Struthio camelus: one gene and its partners. The protein of the gene in region 3 purifies or fractionates together with the protein of the main gene of each other region. This does not show direct contact. Links are inferred from orthologs where the notes say so. Each region holds a gene or a part of one and is shown on either strand. Other genes may lie near its edges.

What was found.
Region 1: the proteins of STK35 (region 3) and CTDSPL2 purify together in Homo sapiens (affinity purification with mass spectrometry; 3 studies listed by BioGRID and IntAct, counting the BioPlex papers as one, with this or other methods). This does not show direct contact. The link is inferred for Struthio camelus from reciprocal best matches to the Homo sapiens genes STK35 and CTDSPL2.
Region 2: the proteins of STK35 (region 3) and C21H1orf174 purify together in Homo sapiens (affinity purification with mass spectrometry; 3 studies listed by BioGRID and IntAct, counting the BioPlex papers as one, with this or other methods). This does not show direct contact. The link is inferred for Struthio camelus from reciprocal best matches to the Homo sapiens genes STK35 and C1orf174.

The regions. Positions count from the first base shown.
Region 1 is NC_090953.1:1,134,267-1,142,111, reverse strand, and holds the start of CTDSPL2 (CTD small phosphatase-like protein 2), read right to left. Parts: upstream 3,012-7,845; 5' UTR 2,880-3,011; intron 2,444-2,879; exon of another isoform or gene 2,245-2,443; intron 2,225-2,244; exon of another isoform or gene 2,010-2,224; intron 1-2,009. UniProt on the Homo sapiens protein: Probable phosphatase.
Region 2 is NC_090962.1:1,311,170-1,318,531, reverse strand, and holds C21H1orf174 (UPF0688 protein C1orf174 homolog), read right to left. Parts: upstream 2,842-7,362; 5' UTR 2,799-2,841; coding exon 2,742-2,798; intron 2,197-2,741; coding exon 1,693-2,196; intron 872-1,692; coding exon 764-871; 3' UTR 512-763; downstream 1-511.
Region 3 is NC_090959.1:18,139,834-18,147,426, forward strand, and holds the start of STK35 (serine/threonine-protein kinase 35), read right to left. Parts: upstream 3,017-7,593; 5' UTR 3,002-3,016; coding exon 2,596-3,001; intron 1-2,595.

The DNA of each region.
Region 1 (7,845 bases), on a different chromosome or scaffold from region 3:
AACTGTTAGAAAAAACAGAACTTTAAAGTCTTTGGTAAATACTAGTTTTGTTGGTGTCAGCCTTAGCAGCATGAGAAGCGATCAAAGAAAAATAAATGCCAATACAGTATGGGAAAACTTTGTTAGATGGAGACTAAGTTTCCTTTTGAATTTGGTATATTTTTTAAGTACTTAAGAATGCTATTCAGCCTGCAATAGTGTCATGTCAGCGTGCTGGGGAATCAACACAGTGGGAAGATGTTATCAACACTCAGAATGGAAGTATGAAGACAGAAAGTTACCTTTAAATTACAAAGATGCATGTACAGCTACAACATTTCTGGAGTGCTTACGTAATTAGAAAAATGACCCAACTGCACCATTACATCTGTGGGACAGAAATGACAAGAAACTCTCTTCTTTAATGAAACAACTCTCTCGGATGAAACAGGAATGTCAGCTTCAGTGTGTACTCCACTGACTGGAACAGGATCAAGTCTCAACTAAGTTCCACACAGTGTTTTCAGGGAAAAAGTGGAGGATGTTTTATGGAATTTAAGTCTGGATTTGGCTAGCATCCTAGAACATACATCTTGTTATGAAAACTGCTGAAGCACTTTTAAGTGGGCAAGCCACAAGTGTCCTTGGAGCTACCCATTCAACTGGAAGCCGCACAGGCGAAGCCTTCTAAAGTAGATGGGATGGAGGGAGGTGGGAAGCAAGGGTGGGGAAATAATCTTGGAAGTATATCTGTTATAGAGAACTGTTCACTTGTGCCTACAGCATGAAGTAGTTACAACTTGTTTCTTGTTATTGTCACAGATCCAATATGTTACTCTGGCTAAATCATAATCTCTTCCTGCCTCAGTTCATCCATGTGTAAACCTGGTTCACTACCTCTTACCTTAATGTGTCACGAGGCTTAATTAATAACACTTAGGTCTTTTAAGCCCTCTACAAACATTAACTACTTCTTGTAACAACTCTCTGAGGTATTATTATCCCCATTTTATTGATGGAGAAATGGCAAAAGCGGCTGTGACTTGCCCATGGCAACGCAGTAATAGCTATACTTGGAGATCCTCTTCATGGATTGTAACAGTGCGAACAACTTCCATCGAGGAAGGCATATTCAACAAACACAATCTCAAAATTACTTCTGAAAGTGAACCACAAGCAACTGGAGGACTACCAAAAAAAAAAAAAACCCTACAAGAAAACACAGGCTGGGGACCGTCTTCACAGAGGAGAAAACGTTCTGGGCAGGTCTAGCTTCACCCAAACGCTTAGGAAGAAACAACACGAGCTGCTCCTAACTATGGTTAAAGCCCAGCCGCAGGCTTGCGCCGCGCTCCTCCTCAACAGAAAGCGAGCGGACAACCAGCGTGGCATGCAACAAGCTGCTGCCGGGCGCAGCCTTCCCAAGCGCTGACAGGAAACGCCGACAAGCAGCCCCGGAGGGTGGTGGTCCTGCACCTGAGGCGCCGGCGGACAAAGTTGGCCTCGTCCCGTTTCCCCACCCCCGGGGCCCGGCCGGAGGGGCCCGCGGCGGGCGGCCGCGACACGGGCTCGCACGCAGCTACGCCGCCTCCCCCCCCCCCCCTCCGCCCCACCACCACCACAACAACCGGCCGGGACGGCGCGGGGGGCGCCGCGGCTGCGGAGGCGCCCCGCAGGCCTGGGCCTGGAGGGCGGGGCGGGGCGGGGGGTGTCAGCGCGGCGCTGACAGCCTCGCCGCCCGCCCGCCCGCCTCGCCCGGGGGCAGCGGGCCCGCCCCGCCAGGGTTGAACCCCCCCCCCCCCCAATCCTCCTCCTCCTCTTCTCCCCGCGCTCCGGCCGCGGCGGGGCGGCCTCCGCCGTGGCGGAGGGGCAGCGACTCGGCGGGCAGGAGCGGCGCGGCAGGGCAGGGCGGGCCGGCCGGAGGGGGCTGCCCGCGCCGCGGCAACCGGCCGCCCCTGCCTTCTCCCACCTGATCCCCGGCTGGGACCCCGCGCTGGCCGAGCCGCCGCCGCCGCCGCCGCCTCGCTTACCTGCGGGCGCCGGGGTGCCGAGCAGGCGGGCCCCGGTGTCCGGCGGCCGGGCCGCGCCGAGCCGAGCCGGGCTGGGCCGGGCCGGGCGGGCGCCGCTGTGTTTACACCGCCGCCGGGGCTCGGCGCTCCGCAGCCGCTCAGCAGCCAGTCGCCATTTCCCGCCTACCGACCTGCTACACCGCACGGAGGGACCCGGATGGGGAGAGGGGCCGCCGCGCAGGCGCAGCCCGGCCGGGGGAGGGGGACTGGGGACGGCGGCGCCGGGGCAGGCCGGGAAGGAGGGAAGCGGGGCCTCGCGCGGGTGGCGGCGGCGGCGGCGGGCCGGGCTGTTCGGCGTCGGGGCAGCGGGACGGGCCGGGAGGCAGCGCCGGGGGCGAGAGTTCCTCACGCGGAGGAGGCGCCGCGCCGGCCCCGGCGAGGCGAGGCGAGGCGAGGCGAGGTGAGGTGAGGTGAGGGGACCCCGCCGCGCCACACGGCCGGCTGAGGTGAGGCGAGGCGCGGCGCGGCCGCAGCGGCGCGGGCCCCCGGCCGTTAGCGGCCTTTATTTACGTGCCGTGCGGCTGACGGAGGGCCCGCCGCGGCCCCGCTCGCAGCTCCTGCCGGGCCGCCCGCCAGCGGGGCGCCGCCGTGCCCACCCTCGGGGACCGGGGGAACTGGGGGGGGGAGCCGCGGAGGGGGTGTGGGGCGGGGAGCCGGGCGGGAGTAGCGTTTTCTGCCCTCCCTGAGGAGGAAGCGGCGAAGCGGCTGGACGGGGCGGCCGCGCCCTGGTGCCGCCGGGGCTGTGGGGGCCGCGTCCCCCCCCCCCCCCCCCCGGCCGCCCTCTCGCTCGGCCTGCGCCGTGTGGCAGCGCTCGGTTTATGCCGGTTTTACCTTCTTTTCCACCCCGTAAGGCAGCGGTAGTTTTGCGGTGTGCGTTGCTGTGTGGAGGCACCTGTGGATTCTAGCGTAAAGTTTTACTTCCACTTTTTTTTTTTCCCCCTTCCTTCTTTCTTTTTAGGCAGTTTCTCGCGGTGTTAAGTGTTGGAGGTGTTGCAGGTTTTGGCGCTTGAAGGGCTTAATGAAGCAGCTCGAACGTCTCACGCAGGGAAGCGTAAGAGGACGCGTAGTAAGTTTAGATGCCCGGTTTACATGCTACTAAACTTGTTTATCTGATGTTTCTTCCTGTTTGTGATCCGTTCGTCCTCTAAATTTTGTAGAAAAACCTCATTTTCTGAGATGAATGTGTTTTCTGACATTGAGACAACTTCTCTCTCAGCAGCTTTTATCTGCATTTATCTGCACTTCTCTGCACTAGAAGCCCCCATGTGTATTGCAAGTTTTTCTCTTCTAATAACTATTGACCCGCTTTTTAAATTTTAATCCAGGGTCCTATTAGAAAAGACCCAGCTCTCTAGGCACTTAAAGTATTTATTGACTTGTTAAACTGAACCACATCTGCTGCCATCGTTTGTTTTAGAATTGTGTCATAGGGTTCTAGCATTCTTTGGCAGAAGACATTATAACATTAATTTTGCCCTAGTTTCTTAAGGGAAGAGGTAATAAAAAAGATAGTGGAAGTAGTGTAGCCCTCATTCAGAACAGGGAGCCTTATTCCTTTAGTGTACTAAATAAAATACTGAAGTATTTCTAGACTCGCTAATTCAGCATAGTAGTTGAATATTTTTTGTATGGTCAGCTGTGAAAAAGGTTAGCTTGGGCATGTTAAAATTTAATTAAGATCGTTTGTCAGTCCATTAAGAAGAACTAGTGTGGCAAGATGACTTTGTGATGTCTCATAATACAAGCCTAAGAGGACATTCAATGATATTTAAAAAGTGGGAGTTTAAAAAAAAAAAAAAAAAGTAGGTAGAAATATTTTTTCAGCCAGTGTGCAATTAAAATGAAACTAACTGCCAGAGAAAATCATTCAGGCTCAAAACCAGGATTCAAAGCAAGCAGATATTTGTATCAATACCAAAATTTTCTAGTGCTTTTATAAAGAAAGCCAAAAACCATTTAGAAGACATACTAGCTCATATGACTCAGGGCTCAAACTAATCTGAGTGGGAACGAGAACTGTGCTTTTCTGGACTGCAGTTTACTTAAATATGTCTTTGCAGGGGTCTTGGGCCATTCTCAGATTACCTGGTTCTGAGGGCTGTCTGAGAAAGGATTTTTGGGCCAGAAGGATTGTGAGATTTGCCATATGTCAGATGGGAATAAATATAAAGTCATATTGTTAATTGACAGTGCTGTGAAGGCAAAAATTCAAGTGTACATCTACTGTAACTGTTCCCAAGATTATAATTTATACCAGGAAAAGAACATTAGTTCTCTGTGGGTAAAATACAAAAATACTAAATAATGCTATGTCTGCATGTGTATACATCAGGCATTAGAAGACTAGAGTGTGCGCTAAGTTCACAGAAAAGGCAGCAACTGTATTGGCAGCAACTGTTTTTTTTTTTTTTTCCTTGATGGTGGATTTCAGGGCTTCCATCAGGTAGAGATATTCTAGGTGCGTGTTTTCTTCAGTTTGTAGAGAAACTGAAGGAAAGAAACTATACAGTTGCTAGCAGCGTTGCACATATTTGGAATGTTATACTCTGCGAATGATCATTTGAAAAGTAATTCTTCATATGTTATGATTTTCCCCTAACTTTCTGCCTTTTTGAAGTCTTGGTGATCCGTTAGCTTTGTGTTTACGTGCTCATTTAAAATGACTTATTTTAGAGTGACTTCCTTATTCGTTGTACAGATTAAGGGTTGGTGAGTCTACCAGCTTCTCTTCATAAGCAGTTTCAAATGGCTGCAGTTACGGAGTCATATTTTATTTCACATTTGAGTTTAACTTCCAGCTCTTGTGTCTAACGCTTCTCAGCAAGAATCAAAAGTCATGCACTGCTGGAGTTCTTCTTTCATGTGTTAGGACCTACATGCAGTGATCAGGTCACCTCAGATTTCCATTTCATAAGCTGAAGACGGTGCATTCTTAAGTCTTGCCTGCTGGGCTTTGTTTTCTGGGGAGAGGGCTTTATTCCCTGGTTAGCTGGGGGGGGGGGGGGGCTTTCTTTAATTTCTGTCCAGTATTTCAACATCCTTCTTTACTTGTTGATTTCAGCTGTTACACAGAGCATGGCAATTTAATGTTATTTACTTCACCAAAGGGAAAATACTGTGATTTGACGATGAGAGAAAGTTGTTGTGTAAACCAAACGGTTCTTATTTGGGTTTAAAATGTTCAGATTACCTATTTGCAGCATTTGTTGTTTTTCTTGCTTATCTGAACAAAAAATGTGTTTATTAGGTAAATGGAATTGTGCACTTGAGTTAAATGAAAAACAGCTACCAGGCTATACTTGCTCCTTTGTGCCTAGATGTCTGTGATCCAATCTGTCTGCTCAGGAACAGCTACAGACTTACTCTTTTGACTGCTTGTACTTCAACTAACAGGGACTGGAATTCATATGGTACTGTTATTCTCATACAGAAGCAAAGCAAGCACGAATTTAAATGAACTTACACATACATCTGATCTAGCATAGCGCATCTTTGAAGAATTTACAGTCATGAAACAATCCCCTGTGGATGAAAATGTACAACCAGAAGTGATCGAGTCTAGTTTTAGGTAGTTAAATTGCAGAGTGCCCATACTAGCAATCCCATTGCTGCTATGTGGGAAGAGTTTAATACGAGTTGAGGAATTAAGAGTGTTCTGCTTTCTGTATCAGTATGAAGTTCTTGCATAACAGCATAACCTTGTTTCTAGCTGGCTAGAAGATTCCAGTGCATTCTCATAAATAGATGTATATATCCCCCTTCCCCTCCTTAACAAAAAAAAAAAAACAGTGTTATTCTATCGAAATAGTATGCTTAAGCATACCACGCTGAAGCGTACCGTGCTCCAAGCATCTCACCTGCCATGAGGCTCTTTCCCCTTTGGCTTTCTCCTCCTTTCCTTCCTCCATATCAATTGGAAAGTCTTTATCAATTTGAAAGTTCTGGTTACTGCAGAATGCTGCACTATTTCTCCACAGTGATAAAAATTATTGGAAGCACCAGATCTCACTTCTTTTTAGTTTCTTTTAGCAAAATTTTTGATCATATTAAATGTTTTAGACGTACCCCTTAGAGTGCTATACCTTGGATTCCAGAGTATTTAAAGTGCTGCCTGTATCCTGGGATAAAGATGGCAATTGACAGCTCTCTTTCTGGCATGGTGAAATTGCCCATAATATGGGTGAAGCTCAAAGTTGTCAGATAGAGGGTATCTTGAGAGGCTGGTGCTGAACAGACTCTGCTAAGAATGAGGACCTTGCAGACCTTCCTGCCCTTTTTCTTTGAGTAAAATAACATTTTTGATTTGGCTGTTCTCCATTATGGAAACAAAATAGCGGTATTAAATATATTTATATAAACGTAAACCTTATATGATAGGAAGACATTCCATTGCATATACTTCTTCCCCTTGTGAGAATGTACAGCTTCTGTTTGACAGCTGTTAATCAGTTTCCTTGGTTCGTTGCTGTAAAGGCTGAGATAATAGAGTAATCAACAGATTCTAGGGACAAGATCTGAATTACTTTTTTCAGTGACGAATTCACGGTATGAGATAGGCTCCTTTGAGGATTTGCAACCAAACCTGATTCAGTCCATGTTTCGAACGTGCTTAAACAATGGATTGATTGTACTAATAACTTCATTGTTGCTATTTGAGAAACAAATTTTCAGGAAATAAAACGTCAGATGAGTTCAGGTTAAATTTGGGCTTTTCTTGTGGCATATGAAAGTTGAAGAAGTCTTTTTTTTTTTTCATGGTGTGCTTGAATGTAGGCAAAGATATAAATTCTTTAGTAGCTGTACTTGGGAAGGAGTGGACTTGCAGAGTGGAAGTTGAGGTCTGCACATACCACAAGTGTACACACAGGTATATTTGTTCAGGCAAATCCACAAGAGTCTGAAAGGAGAAGTAAATGGATATGTGTGCGTGAAAGTTGAGGGAGTGTCTAATTAGTAGTTGTATCATAAAGTGGCAGATAAGGACCTGGCTCCTCTTCCTCTTTTAGCATTGGTTATGTCTTTGGCAGATCATAAACTGTGTTTGTGAAGGGGCAGGGGAAGTTGAATGTAGTATTTTGTTACAGAGTTTTCAAAAATTGGTTATTTATGCAGAGGGTCGATTGCATGTTTTAATATTAAAATGAAGCCAAAGTAGATGATAACCTGTGTAAAGTCTAGTCAACCTTGTGCATTGCCCAGGCAAATCATATGCTGTGAGTCGCTGAAAACAGTTAATCTACTGCAGTATACTTGCTTACAAGAGATCTCTTCTGCAGGCTTTGGATTTTTCTCTGTTTATGAGTTTCTCTGTATGAAAATGTAAAGTGCTAAAGTTAAATAAAACACATAACATTAGTTATTTAGTACTTGTTTTCCTAACTTGACACTTTAGTCTTCAGAAAATATTTAGTCAGAGTTCTCTTTGCAGCTATTAAAACTTTGAGAAATTTGGTTGTCTTTCATTTGTTTCATATATAGCCAGTTCTTACTTTTCAGGAAAAAAACCAAACAAACTGACTGTAGTATCTTAGTAACATTTAAACTGTAATAGGCTCTTGAGTGAGTCTTAGTTTTTGTGGTTTCCGCATAACTTTGAGAAAGCTGTGGCAAAGCCACTCTTTAGAGAACCTATGCAATTGAGTAGTTGGGAATAACAGGAAAGAACTGAGTTCTCTCTTTCACTGTAAGTTCACTGTAAGTGCCTGTATTTCTTGTATTTGTAGTAGAAATCATCCTTCAGTCTTGGCAGCAAGGTCTTCAGCTTGCTATTCTTTGTTTTCTTTCTGTATGTTACAGA
Region 2 (7,362 bases), on a different chromosome or scaffold from region 3:
AGACAACATTGCACAACTTGCATTACACAAACATTTAAAAGGGCAATTTTTGTGGCTGATTTGATGGAAGAGAGAAGCCATGGGATTCACATGGTGGTTGTTCATAAAACTGACATGCAATAAGAATATATTTACCATCTTGAGACCAAAGCCATGGAACTCACGTTGACATACGTGCGTTTAGTTTTGCCAGCAAAACTGCGTTTTAAAGGTCTGAATTGCTTTCATTTTACAAGTAAAAAACGCAACACTAAACTTAAGGAACAGAGGCTGGTATCGCTCCTTGTACTGGGTAGTCTACTTGATCTATTAATAACCAGATGCCAAAATGGTAAACATCACAGAATTAAAAGGAAAAGGACTATCCAGCTGTGTTCTAGGATTGCTTGCTTACTTTTAAAGAGGAGGGAGAACAGGCCAACTGTTTCCTGGAGGTGTTGGCTCAAATGTACAGCACACTAGACCAAATAGACCAATAGACTTTTTTTTAATAAATGAAAAGCATTAGTGGTAAAATGATAAAATACAATTTATTCCAATTCACTAAAAGTTCAGCCAAACTCTGTTCCCCCCCCCCCCAGATAACCAGAGGAGAGTACAGTATCTAACGAGCTCACAGAAAAACTTTACCAGTTCTCCCTCTGAGAAAAGGCAAATACAAAACAAATCATGTCAGTGACATAGCCAACCATTACCTTTCACTAGCCAATACAGTGGCGTAAAATCCTTAAAAAAATAGTTTTGTTTGTTTTACATTTTGTGGTTAGAGGACATCCTCTTCCTCCTCCTCATCTTCCTTTGCAATGAAATGCAGCTTTCTAAATTCTCGTCTGCTCATTGTTGTGCTTGCAAGTGCAACTGCTGGGAGGTCCTTTAAGAAAAAGGATAAAAACTTAAGAAAAACCAATTGCTGCAAATAGCACACTTCCTACATGTCCAGTGCTTCCCGTTCCCCTACGCCTCATACATGAGGTATTAATACAGACCTCTTAGAAGTGATGGCATCTGCATAAACCTTAAATAAAAGCCTAAGAGCTCTGAAGGGAGCCTGCTATAAGGCAGTGCTGGCTCACGGTCAAAGTGAGGGCTGGCATTCCTTCTAAGCTTTTAGAAAGGGATTCAGAAAGGGTTAAGCGCTCTACAAACAAATCCTCCCTATCCACGTTAAATACCAGTCCTCGCTAAACACCAGGAAAAAAGAAAGCATCACTTGTCCAAAGTTACAGTATGTTAAAGGCAGGACCTGGGATTTGAATTTATAATTCTGTCCCTTGATCAGTCCAAAAGCAGAGCTGGTCAGAAACCAGTTTCTATTCCAAAGAAGTAAAGTAACCACAATTAAGAACCAGTGAGCAGTGAAAAACTACCTCATTAAAAAAAAAAAAAAAACTTTCTCCATAGTGCAGCTATCTGTATCTTTATGAGTAAAAGTATTTATCCTATGGAACTGGAATAATAAAATCCGAACAGGAAAGTCTTTACTTCTGACATAGACTCGGCCAGACAAGTAATTTCATCTCTGACTGAGGTCAGTCTTTCTATCTAGAAGACAGGGACACTTCTCCAGATGACTACCAATATCGGTCAAGTTTGCCAAAAATTTTGAGGCTAGACTACTGGCGTTTGGAGACACAAGGCAGGAGCAGAACAGAACCCAGTCTGTGAGCAGTAAACAGACTTTCATCATCTCACCTGTATAAACTCAACGTTTCCAAAGAATCGGTCCACTGGCATTGGTTGGTTACTGTCTTCGTCTAAGAAAGCACTATCATCGCGCTGTACTGGTGTCTTCGGGGCACCTCTGTCCTCCAAGCCGGACTCACCCGAAAGCACGCTCTCGCAGCTGCTTTCCTCTCCGACGCGGCAGGCACAGTTTTGCAGATCTTCAGCGCTTCCCGCTTCTGACGGGGCGCTGCTCGAATCCACCGCAGAGGGCTTCGGGGAAAGGTCGCCTTCCTTTCCCTGTCCCTCCGCCCTCGTCTCTGCAACGCTTTGCCCTGCTGTCCGCCGCGTTGCGTCGCCGTCTCCGGCGTCTCCCGAGCGCCGACCCTCGGCCGAGCTGCTAGGTGCTTCCCTCCGCGCAGCCCGCGTCCCGCTCCCACCTGCGCGTCCTGCTCGCGCCGATTTCACTAGACCGCTTTTCTCGCCTTTTAGCCTCTTTGAGGGCCGGGTGTCAGTGGCTTTGCGTGGGCAAGGCTGTCGCAAAAAAAAAAAAAAAAAAGACAAGACAAGGCCCTACAGCTTACTTCAAGTAAATAAAGGATTTAAAAAAGAGAAAACCACCCAGCGGCACTAGTTGCTAGGCTCGCCACGAGACCGAAAGGAGCAGCAGCCAGCGCCTAAGCTACCTCACTAAGACAAATAACTATTAGGAAGCGCAGGTAACAAGGGAAACAAAGGGAGCGAGGAGCGCCTCAGGTGAACTGCACGCTGTGGACTGGTTCATCACCAGCAGAAAAACCTCTGCCCCGAGCACGAACCAAGGCAGCACGCGGCTAGCGGCCTTCTCGCGCTCTCACGGGGACGCGGCGAGGCCGCCAGCCGTGGCACAGCCAGCTCAGCAGCGAGTAACCCATCCAAAACCCGGCCCCAGGCAGGTGAATGCGTCTCCCGTACCTCTTTTTTTTTGTTTTAAAGTTTAAAATTCACTTAAACCCTCCAGGCAAATCGATCACGGTGCTGCTGAGCACGGCGGCGCCACGCCGCAGCCCGCCCCCGCCTCGGCCCCGGCCCTCTCCTACCAGGCTCACCGTCCGGGCCGCCGCCGCGGGACCGCCCCGCTCCTTGCGGCTCTTCATGGGGCCGCGGCCGGCGCCGACCGGCCCCACACGCCGCCCCGGCCTCCTCGCCGCCGCGCCGCCCGCCGCCATCTTGGGGAGGGCGCGCGGCCGCTGGCGCCATCTTGGGGAGGGCGCGGGCCTGGCAGCGGGGCCGCGAGGCTCTGCCGGGGCGGCCGGCCTGGTCCTGTGATGGCGGCGAGGCCCCGTTACAGCCGCTGCCGCCCAGAGAAGAGCGAAGGCAGGAGCTTGCTTGCAGGCTCTCCCCGAGGGGCAGCTGCCCGGAGGGAGCGCAGAGGCCAAAGCTGGTTCTGGGCTCTGAACGTTGCAGGCCTGCCGCCTCCCGCTGCGGCTTCCTCCCGGAAGATGCGCAGCGAGGGACTCGCTACGCGGATACGGCCGCCGGTTCACTGCTGCAGCCCTCGGGGAACAAATCCTGCTAGCAACCGAAATCCCTCTGTAACTTCCAGGGCTCTCGACGCCCGCGGACGAATTTCCGTGTCGCCAAGCAGCAAGACGCCCGGGCTCGAGCACGTCGTCACCCGCGCCGTGGGGACTTGCGCGCGTCCCCACGCGCCACGGGTGGGGGAGCCCGTTCCTCGGGGCAGGCCGGTAATGTTCTGCTCGTTTTGGAGCTGTGCCACAATTCCGGTGGTTTGAAGATGATACCTACGCTCCTCAACTGAACTGCGCCGGCAAAAATCCTTGCCCGTGCCTCCTGGCCTTAAAAAACACGAGCAACAGTTTGAACTTCAGAAATAAATGGGCCCGGCGACCTTGGAGGATATTCAAAGGCGAAATTTCTTCTCAAAAGCAGGAAGTCTCCCAGTTAAACTGCAGAGGTTCAGAGACAGGCCTGATATGTTGTTCTGCAATTTCACACAGTGCTCAAGGGTCCTTCTGTGCTTTGTTCTGTGGTGGAGATAATTCATATTCTCCAAAAGCATCGTGACTTGCTCCACTCTCTCACAGTATTGTTGCTTGCAGCCAAGGAATACAGATGATTGTTTTTATTACACAGTGAAAACTTATACTGTCTCATAAACAGAAAGGGACTGGAACTGGCGGAAAAAAAGCAGCATTTCTGCTGCTAGAAAAGAACTTTGTTGTTTTAATTTCCCCATGAACTGAAAATTGTAAGAAAAATCTAATTTTGGAGAATTGGAATTTTATATATTGTTTCCATAACACTGTTTCTCATTCTTCATGCTGCTTAGCAAAATTGACGTGCTTATTAGAGCAACGCGGGCAGCGATGCCTGAGCTGGAAGCAGCCCCAGCACAAAGGTAGCCAAGCGACTGTCGGTACCCGAGCTAGCGAGCCGGGTCACGTACCCCTGCAGGGGCTGCCCCTGCCATGACTGCAGCGTGGGCAAGCTTTGTGCGAGGGGTATGCCGCCACGAGCGCCTGAGATTGTGCACTGTGGCCGCAGGCACTACGCAGGAACTAAACACCTTGCACGGACAAAGGCAGAAAGTCTGGGCTCCTTTGCAAAGCTACTGCATTATGGTCACTCCATTCTCTCTCCCACGATAACCCTACTTCATGGAGAACCAGCAGTGATTTTGCAACTGCAGATGTTACTGCTTTTTCTGAAATATCACTGACCCCTTTCTGAGAAAACATCCATCATGGAGTGCAGAAAGCACCCCAGGAGAGGCAAGCGAGAACAGAGATCCCCTCTGAGATTAGGCCACGTTTCATCAACAGCCAGCGTCTCCCGAGTGATTTGAAAGGCTACACAGCGACTTCAATCAGAAGCAGAGCAGCACCAACTATTTATATTAAATTCACATTTCCATGTAAAAGAGGACTTATTTTCAACAATATTAAACAGTGTTTTTTATTAGGATCTGTTGTGTCTAAGCAGGCAGGCAGGCAAAGAGGAAGATTTTGTGAGCTCCCTCGTTTCTCTGAAAGCTGGCTAGCAGCTATGAAGAAACAGCTGATGAGCTTATTGAGCAGGAAGGAAGGTTCAGGCTGTGAAGCTGAATGTGTAAATTAGCTTCTTGCAGCACTTTTCTCTGTGCCTGTCACTTTCCCCAGCATCCCTGTCTGTTATAATCCTCTGAGTTCATTTGGCTAAACATTAGTGACATGTTAGAGACAGCAGCCAAAAAAAATAACGTTGCCTGTAAAAATAATGGCTGTTAGCTGTTGAATGAGTGATCTATCAAGCTAAACAATAATCCAGCAGGAGCACTGACTGGTCTTTTCATGCATTGGAAAAAAACTATTTTTAGTTACGGCGACTTTTTTCATTAACACACCTGGGGAAAGAGCAGAAAGAATATCTACAGTCTAATAAGTAGCATCAAGCGCTTGGCCCCCTGTCTAGCCCGTGGTACCGCATCCTGTCTACCTGCCACTTTCTGTGCTGCTTTGGCAGAGCAAGCTCCAGCAATACGAGCTAGACGTTAGCTCAGCTGTAGAAGACAGCCTTTTAGCTGCAGTTCTAGCCAGTCACACCACACTGACGTTGTCATGCCAACTCGGTTAAGGACAGCGAATATTGAACCACAAATTTTGGGTTTCCTTCCTAGATGCGGTCTCCCAGCAGAATTTCTGATGAGCTGATACCTCAGCTAGAGCTGAACATGCCGAGGGGTCTGCAACCCAAACACACCTCTGACGTCTGCCATCACTGTCTGAAAAATTACTATCTTGAATATCTTTGCCCCACTCAGATCTGAGGCAGTGTTTCATTATTCATATCAGAAACCAGAGAGTCCTGACATGCAAGTAACAGGGAATTTATGATATATCAGGAAATTTTAACTGCCACATGAAAAAACCCAAATGTCTTGGTTTAGATTTATTTCTAATGTCACCAAGGAACAAATGTGGGGTGCAGGTATCTGAAGAAATTAATACAACTGAATGAAGTGCATAGGCTTTGTAAGAAAGAGAACAAAGAGAAATTATGAAATCCATTACCTTAATGCAAAACCTTAAGGGAGATCTGCACAACAGAGACTTGGTCTCAAGTGGGATGGTCAGAATACATGTCTGACTGAAGAGCTGCTCTCACTGACCTCCCTGGGAGGGATACAGCCAGAGAGACCAGCTCCTGCCTGGGAACAGGTTGGTGGCAACAAGATCCTCCACGCTATTTATACAAAATGGCCAGTTTTCATCACAATCTCTAGCATTTACATAACAATAATCCTTTCCAAAGCACTCTACAAATGCTACCCAACGAATTCAGGGCAGCTGATTTGCCCAAGGTTTCATACCCTTCCAAAGGCTTTAATTGGTTTGGGCAGGGCTGCTTTTTAGAGCATTCCATGAAACATAAGTAAATCTCTCCCTGCACAAGACATCCCACTGAGCCAAAATCATTACCATTGCTCCAGGAACCAGTTTGATTACATGGACTATGACAACTGGTGTTGCCACTAAAAAGCAGAATAGCGACTCACAGAACTTCCTTCTGCCTTAGTTTAATAGTTGCTTTAACTACAGTTATGTAAGCAAGCAGTCTCTTTCCACCACGTTTTTCTTTTTCAGAACATTTTGTCGCAAGGATTATGGTGTAAATTACATCTCAAAAGTCGCTTTTGTTTTGTTCCCTGTTTAACTATTCCGAGAGCCAAAACTGGGCACAGCATTGGCCTAAGTGGGTGCAGAGATAAGTGCTACAATGCAGATTTGGGGCAGATTTCCCGCAGTTAGCTCTAAGAGAGAGAGCAAGTATCCAAGTATCTAACCCTAGACTATTTATGCTGGCAGCAGCCACCCAAGGACCTGAGCACTTCATGATCGGCGACTTCCCCTGTTTTGTGGGATAGGGAATTATTGCTGCAGTTCCCTGTTCACAGAAGGGCAGTTGGGGTGTGGGAAACAGCCTGCCCAAGGTTACAGAGAAGAGATGAACAAACTGCAAAGCAACTTCTCACCCAGAGCAGAGCAGGGCTCAGTTACCTTCGCCAGGAGAAGGGGAATAGGAGCTGCAGCCTCTGCTCATGCTGCGTCCATCAGCACAAGCCAGGCCCTGCAGCACCCAGCCGCACACTGGCATGTCCCTGGGGCTCCCATGCTGGCAGCCAGGCTGCCCACTCAGGGACACATCTCCAGGGCTTCTTAGACCTCCTGGCTCCCAGACACTGGGGGTCAGTATTAGACAGGAAATTAAGTGCACAGACGCACAGAAAGGAGCAGGAAAAGCAGCTTGCAGTCCCTAAACTTTCCCAGCACCAGGCTGGAGCTGGCACAAAGGAGCTGCCCCAGCAACAGCCAGCAAGGGGACCAACGGCACAGAGGAGGCAGCGCTCAGAGGGACTGCAAAGTTGGCAGGGCCTGCAGAGGCTAAGTCACGTTGCAGCTAAGGAAGCAGTGATTTTTCCCTCTCTCCTCTTGCCGTTTCCCTCTCCGCACCCTCAGACACGCGGGCAGCCCAAGCACAACACCGAGAGCGGGGCAGCGGGCGAGCAGCAGCATTGCCCCACGCAGAGCTGGGTGCCACAAAGGGAGCTCACCTCCAGCGCCGAGCAGCTCCGCACCCTGCCAGCAGCCCAGGCCAGGCTCCTCGCGTGGAGCTGCACCGGGGGCTGCAGCGGTTGTATTTAGTCGTTCTGGTAATCTG
Region 3 (7,593 bases):
AGGGGCAGGGACCCTACGAGCAGGGCACAGGGTTACAGAGGTGCTGGAGAGAGGTACAGCAAAGGGGCACTGAGGCAGGAACCAGGCTGGGGGGGGGGGCGCTCAGGGAGGGGTGTCCCTGGGAGCAGGGACTCAGGCAAAGCCCAAGGGACAGGAGCTGGGGGAAGGTGACACTGGGCAGGGTGTGCATGGGGAGAGAAGCCAGGGCTGGGGGTCCTGAAAGGGGGGAGTAGGCACAGGGATGGTGACACTGGGGTCCCATGGAGTGCCAGGGGTGGGTGACAGCAAAGAGGGTGCTGCGGGCAGGGGAAGAGCATAGCAGAGACAGGACGTAGGTGGGCGACGGGAGCAGTGCTGGGGACGCCTGGGGCAGGTCTTGCTGAGGGCAGAGGGACCCCGGGTGGGCAGGGGTGAGGCGGAGGTGAGACTGGGGGCACCAAGGGTGCAGCAGAGGGACCCCAGGGGGGCTGCTAAGGAATAACAAGGGTGGGGGTGACGATGGGGGGAGCAGGGGTGCAGCAGGGGGTCTCCCCAGAGCAGATGCTACCAAGAAGGAGGTTAAGCAAGGGGCGATGCTGGGACAGGGTGAGGCTGGGGTGGCAGCACTGGTGGGCGAGCGATGCCAGGAAGGGGGGTCCTAGGAATTACGTGGTGCTGAGGGTGCCCTGGGAGAAGGGGGGGAACAATACCAGGGTGCCCTGCACAGGTATCCCCAAGGTTACCTGGGGCAGGGGACGGTCCCCAGGGGATGCGAGGGAGATGGCAGCGCCAGGGTGCTGGGCTGGCAGGGAGGCATGGTGGAGGGTGCGCCGGGGTGGACAACCCTGGGGAGGATGATGGTGGCATCCCCCAGAAGGGTGCCGGGGTGCTCCAGGGGTGATGGCAGAGTGCCCTGGCAGGGGTATCCGGGGAAAGCGATGCTGGAGTGCCCGGGAAGGGGCCAAGGTGCCCAAGGGAGGGCAACCGGGGTGCCCTGGTGGGGGGGGGGGGGGGGGGCACCCCAGAATGATGGCAGCACCAGAATGTTGGGGTAAGGGGGAGCACCCTGGGGTGACAGCAGCACCAGGTGCCATGGGGGGGATCCCTGGGGTGAAGGGGAGGTGGGCTGGGGTAATGACAGCCTGGCTGCTGTGGGGGAGGGTGAAGAAAGTGTGCTGGGGGGGGGGATGGGGACCAGGGTGCGTGTGTGTGTCCCAGAAAGGGACCTCCTGCAGAGGAGGGATGTCTCGGGGGTCCCCAGGGAAGGACCCCCCCCGGAGGAGAGTCCGGGGGAGGGGGGGGAGGGTTCCAGGGAGGGATCCTCTGGGGGGAGGGTGTTCTGGGTGGGGTGTTCAAGGGGTGACCTGGGGGGACCCCAACAGAGGATGTCCTGGGGAGGGCCCCTAGGGTGGAACCCCCTCAGAGGGGTGCTGAGTCAGCAGGGGTCTCTAGAAGAAGTGCCCGGGGGGGGCCTCCCAGGGGGTCCCCTTTGGGGTGCAATGTCCCAGGGTGGCTGTCCACAGAAGGACCCCCTTGGGGGGGATGTCTGAGATGGGTCTCCAGGGGGCCCCCTCAGGGATGGTGTCCTGGAAGGGGGTGCCTCCCAGTGGTCCCCCTCGGGGGGGGACATTGGGGGGGTCTCCAGAGGGGTCTCTCTCAGGGGGGTGGGGTTCCCTCAGGGGGAGATGTCTCCAGGGGGATCCCCCTGAGGGTGAGGGGGAGGTGTGCCGGGGGGTGCCCCTTGGGGGGGGAGGAGGTGGTGTCTCCAGGGGGGTCCTGAGGGTCCCCCCCAGGGGGAGGGGGGGTGCCAGGGGGAGGTGTCTCCAAGGGGGTCCTGGGGGGAGAGCAGGGGTGTGCCAGGGGGTGCCCCTTAGGGAGGGTGTCTCCAAGGGGGTCCCCCTTGGGAGGGGAAGGGAGGTGTCCCAGTGGGAGGTGTCTCCAGGGGGGTTCCATGGGTCCCCCCCAGGGAGAGAGTGGAGATGTGCTGGGGGGTCCCCCATCTGGGTGGGGTGTCTCCAAGGGGGTCCCCCTCGGGGAGGAGGGAGGGTGTCCCAGGGGAGGTGTCTCCGGGGGGGGTCCCCCTCAGGGAGGAGGGGGGGTGTCCCGGGGGGGAGGTGTCTCCGGGGGGGGTCCCCCTCAGGGAGGAAGGGGGGTGTCCTGGGGGAGGTGTCTCCGGGGGGGGTCCCCCTCGGGGAGGAGGGGGGGTGTCCTGGGGGAGGTGTCTCCAGGGGGGGTCCCCCTCAGGGGGAGGGTGTCCTGGGGGGAGGTGTCTCCGAGGGGGGTCCCCCTCAGGGAGGAGGGGGGGTGTCCCGGGGGGAGGTGTCTCCGGGGGGGGTCCCCCTCAGGGAGGAGGGGGGGTGTCCCGGGGGGGAGGTGTCTCCGGGGGGGGTCCCCCTCAGGGAGGAGGGGGGGTGTCCCGGGGGGAGGTGTCTCCAGGGGGAGGGGTCCCCCTCGGGGGGAGAAGGGGGGGTGTCCCGGGGGGAGGTGTCTCCGGGGGGGGTCCCCCTCAGGGAGGAGGGGGGGTGTCCCGGGGGGGAGGTGGGGAGGGGGGGGGTCCCCCTCAGGGAGGAGGGGGGGTGTCCCGGGGGGGAGGTGGGGAGGGGGGGTGCCGGGTACCTTTGAGCGAGGTCTCCACGAGGCGGAGGTAGAGCTGGCTGCGCTTGTTGCCGTGGCTCATGCGCTGGCCGAGGCCGTGGCGCTGCAGCACGCACTCCTCGAAGCGCACCACGTTGGGGTGCTGCCGCCGCAGGCTCGTCAGCGCCCAGAACTCGGCCAGCGCCAGCTCCACGTTCTCGGGCGCGTCGCAGCGGATGCGCTTCACCGCCAGCCGCGCGCCGCTGCGCCCCGACACCGCCTCGTACACCACGCCGTAGGCGCCGCGGCCGATCTCCGCCAGCAGGCTGTACCGCGGCGCCCCGCCGCCGCCGCCGCCGGGCCCCGCCGCCGCCATGGGGGCCCGCCGCGCCGCCCGCCGCCGCTCCGCTCTTTGTGTCCCGCGGCGGCCGCCGTCCGCCGTCTCCATGGCGCCGCCGGCGCGGGGGGGCCGCGCGCCTGCCGCCGCCGCCGCGCCCTGCGCATGCCCCCGCGCTGGGGGCCGCCGCCGCCGCTGCTGCCGCTCTGCCGGAGCCGGCCGGGGGGCACGCGCCGCCGTGTCGGAGGGCGGAAAAGCGCGCCCTGCCTGCCCCTTTAAGCGCTCGGCCAATGGCGGCGGGGCGGGCGGGCCCACGCCGCGCGCGGAGCGGGGGGGCGGCGGCGGTGGTGGTGCCGCCCCCCGCGGGGGGGGCCCGGCCGCCGCCGCCGCCGCCGCCCGCCAGCGCCGCCGCCCCCGCCGCGCCGCCACGGTGCCTGCGGGCCGCGGGGGGCCGGCTCGCCGCGCCGCCGCGCCCCGGCGGGCTGCGCACACGCCATGCAGCGCGGCGGCCGCCGCCGGGCCGGGCCGGGCCGGGCCGGGCCTCACCTGCGGCGCGGGCCGGGCGCTGCTGCTGCTGCTGTGGCGGCAGCGGCGGCGCGGGGATAAGCGGGGCCCGCGCGCCCTGACGTAACCCCTTATGTAACGGCGGGGGGGGGAGGGGGGGAAGGGGCTGTCCGCGCCGCACCGGCGGGGGAGGGGGCCGGCGGCCGGGCCGTGTAATGCAAAGGGGGGTGCTCGGGGGCCGTGCAAAGGGGGGTGCTCGGGGGCCGTGCCGTGCAAAGGGGGGGTGCTTGAGGGCCCTACAATGCAAAGGGGGGGTGCTCGGGGGCTGTGCAATGCAAAGGGGGGGGTGCTCGGGGGCCGTGCAATGCAAAGGGGGGTGTTCCGGACTGTGCAATGCAAAGGGGGGGGTGCTCGGGGGCCGTGCAATGCAAAGGGGGGGTGCTCCGGGCTGTGCAATGCAAAGGGGGGGTGCTCGGGGGCCATGCAATGCAAAGGGGGGTGTTCCGGACTGTGCAATGCAAAGGGGGGGGTGCTCGGGGGCCGTGCAATGCAAAGGGGGAGTGCTCCGGGCTGTGCAATGCAAAGGGGGGTGCTCGGGGCTGTGCGGTGCAAAGAGGGGGGTGCTCAAGGGCCATGCCATGCAAAGGGGGTGCTCTGGAGCCGTGCAATGCAAAGGGGGTGCTCGGAGGCCATGTGGTGCAAAGGGGGGGGTGCTCTGGGACTGTGCCATGCTAAGGGGGGTGTTCTGGGCTGTGCAGTGCAAAGAAGGGGGGGTTCCTCCAGGATTGTGCAATGCAAAGGGGGGTGCTTGGGGGGCATGCCGTGCAAAGGGGGGGGTGTGCTCCAGGGCTGTGCAATGCAAAAGAGGGTTCTCCGGGGCCGTGCTGTGCAAAGGAGGGTGCACCAGGGCAGTGTAGTGCAAAGGGGGGGTGCTCTGGGCCATGCAGTGCAAAGGGGGCATGTACTGGGGCTGTGCAGTGCAAAAGAGGAGTACACTGGGGCCGTGCAGCGTAAAAGGAGGGCACACCGGGGTATTACAGCGCATGGCGGGGGGCAGGTGCCCCAGGGAGGCGGTGCAGTTTTGATCAGTGCACTAAGGAGGGGGGGTGTTGGTGCCCTGGAGAGGGGGGTGCAGTGTAAGGGAGTGGGAAGCTGTGCCGTGGTGGTGCATTGTAGGGGGTGCACTGGGAGCCTGTTCAGTTGCGGGGGGGTGTCAATGCACTGGCAGGGTGACCATGCAGTGCTAAGGGCTGGGATCGGTGCACTGGAGGCGGTGCAAGGAGGTGGTCAGTGCGCAGGGGAGAGGGGAAGCAGTGCAAGGGGATGCTGGATGCACCAGGGGGAGCGTGCAGTGCAGGGGGGGTCTGCGCATTGCAAAGGGGGGTCAGTGGAGCAGAGGGGGCTGTGCGTGCAGCAGGCTGTGCAGTGCACGGGGATCGGTGCAGTGCAAGGGGAGGTGCAGTTGTGGGGGGACATGTAGTGCAAGGAGGGGGTGCAGCAGCTTGTGCAGTGCAAAGGGGCTTCTGCAGCTTAGCCAGGTGCTGCGGGGCCCCAGCCCTGGTGAAGCCCCCTCCCCAGACCCAGCTCCCTGGGGTATTGCTGCAGGCGATTTCCAGCAAAAGCCCCCCTAGAAAGTCACTGAAACGCTGGGGCTGAAGCCTCGCTGCCCTCGGGGGCCAGAGGTTTTAGGGAAGCTAAAAACCGGGTGAGGACGAGCACTGTCCCCAGGGGTCCCCGCGCCCGGCTGGAGCCCTCTTGCCCTGCTCTCTCCCGCCATCCAGGGGCTTCCCGAGCGTGCGGTCGTGCTGGCCGGCCGGTCCCGGCGGTGGGGCCATGCCGTGGCTCCGCTCCGCGTTACTCCCGCTCCGCCTGGCCGTTTCCACCTCCAGGCACCCCCCGGCTCGAGCAGCGTGCGGTGGTGGGTTCATTTACCCCGTGCACGTGCGCATCGCGCACCGCCGGGACCGGGGCTCCACCATGCCACCCAGCCCGCCGGCGCTTGGCTGTGCCGCGCCGGGAGAAACGGCGATGGCGCCCCGTCGCAGCAAGCACCGCGGCGGGGCCGGGACCGGCCGGGGCGCCTCGTCCCGGGGAGCAGCGCGTGGGCGTCGCGGCCCCTCTCCGGCAGCCCCCGCGGCCACGCGCAGCCCCGCGTGCGCGGTGCGAGCAGCAGCGCTAAGCCGGTGCCGCGGCCTTGGCCCGCTTGCCGGCAGCGCGCCGCTCCGGGGGGGCTGCTTGTACAGAAGGACGCACGTCTGTTCCCGCAGGGTCGTTTTCCTGCCACGAAAACCGCCTGTTTTGTTCCAGCTGTTTTTTTCCGAGCCTCTTCTCTGCCCGCTTTGCCTCGCTCGGCGCAGGTGACGTTAGAGGCACTTTGCAGGCGGTCAAGGAGAGCGTCTGCAGAGCGAGTTTACGGAGGAGCTCTGCAAATCGCTCTTTGCTTGACTCACTTGCCAGGCCCGTGTTGAGAGCACGCGCCAGGCAGCAGCCGCGGCCCCTCCGCGCTGCCCAGAGCATCGCGCTGCCGGCGCGGAGACCCTGCGCCGGCCGGGCCCCGCGCGGCCGCCCGGTCCCTGCCGCCAGGCTGGCGCAGGAGGGGAAACGAGGTGCCCTGAGCGGCGGCGCGTGCATGCCAGGAAAAGCCTCTCCTCCGCCTAACATTCGGAAAATAAACTTTCTTATCTCATTCTCTCCCTGCAAGGCGACCTGTATTATCCCCGCGGATTGCCAGGGAGCGCTCGGCTTTGGGTCTCGTCCCAAAGCCGTTTGCACGGAAGACGCTGCCTGGTGCCGCCGGCAGCCGGCCGGGGTGCAGCCGAGAGCCTGGGCTGGGGCGCGCTGGCGGGGAGCGCAGCGGCCGCGCGGCTGGCTGCCTGCCCGCGCGCAGCGAGCGGGGCTGCCGGCGATCCTCTGCAAGTTTTTAAAGCTCGATTTGCTTTTCAGTGGAGCCACTTCACCGCCTGGGCTGGGAGGAGAGGGGGTCCTCGGCCGGGGGCAGCCCCGCGCGTTGCTGCGCGACGCCCGTTGTTTGCTCGGGCGCCGCTTTCTGCAACGGCGTCGAGTGGCCACTTGTGCTCGCTGCCCGTGTCTTTGTGCGCCCCGGTCGCGCCGCCGCGTGCCCACGCGCGTGCCCCTGGGCTGCGCGGCCGCCGGCAGGCAGGAGCCGAGCTCCCCCCGCGGCGCCCAGCCCGCTCCCCGCGGGGGCGATGCTGGGGAGCGGGCATCGCCCCGCGCGCCGGCTCTCCCGGGAGCGCGGTTCGCGCCTGGCCGCCTCCTCCCTGGGGCAGCCCGCGCAGCCTGCGGCCGTTTCAGGGCCACGAGGGTGAGCAAGCGATTTAATACCAGCCCTTTCTGGAAAAACGCCGTACGCCTGAATAGCGGGGAGCTGACCGGGCGCGATGGGAATTGCTCCACGCACCGCAGGCGGGCTGCTTCCCGCGGGCACTGCCTGCCGGGGCACCGGACCGCGCTCGCAGCGGCGCCGGGTCGCGCACCCGCTGCTCGGGGCGGCCAGCGAGCTCGCCCCTCCGAAACATGGGTGCAGGCTGGCTGGGGAGTTCCTTCCCTTCCCCTCTCCCTCCTGCTGGCTCCCACCTTGCCCGCGCTGGACGATGCTCTGCAGACGCCGGCAGGGCCAACGGAGCCGCTCTCCGCTCCGAGGCCAATGCGGGCCTCGAGGGCCGGGCTGCCGGGGGCTGCCGGGGGCTGCCGGGGGCTGCCGGGGGCTGCCGGGGCTCCGGGCACAGCCGGCCCCGCCGTGACAGGCGCTGCGTGACGGTGTCTGCCATTAACTCCCACCTGCTTTTGCGCCCGCCTGGTACTTGCGCTAGTCCCCCTCCTCTCCTCATCAGCTTTTCACTGATGTAGTTAAGAAAACTTAACTTTTCTATTACTGCACATTTCTCTCTCACCCAGGTGCTTAATTACCATTGTCCCAGGGAAATGTCAGCGTGACTCAGAGACAGTTTCCCATTAGGAAGCGGCAGATGAATATTAATTAAACCGGCTGGTGGGTGGGCTCACTTGGAGCTCCTTTCCCGAGGGGACCCTGCCAGCACCCCACGCCTGCCGGGCCTCGGCCGAGGACCCTCTCGCCTGGTTCAGGGAACCTGCGGCACAAATAGAAACGAAGAAGATGCCTCTGCTGCAGGGACAGGAGCAATTCCACCTCCCTGCCTCCCTGCCCAAAGGAAATCGTC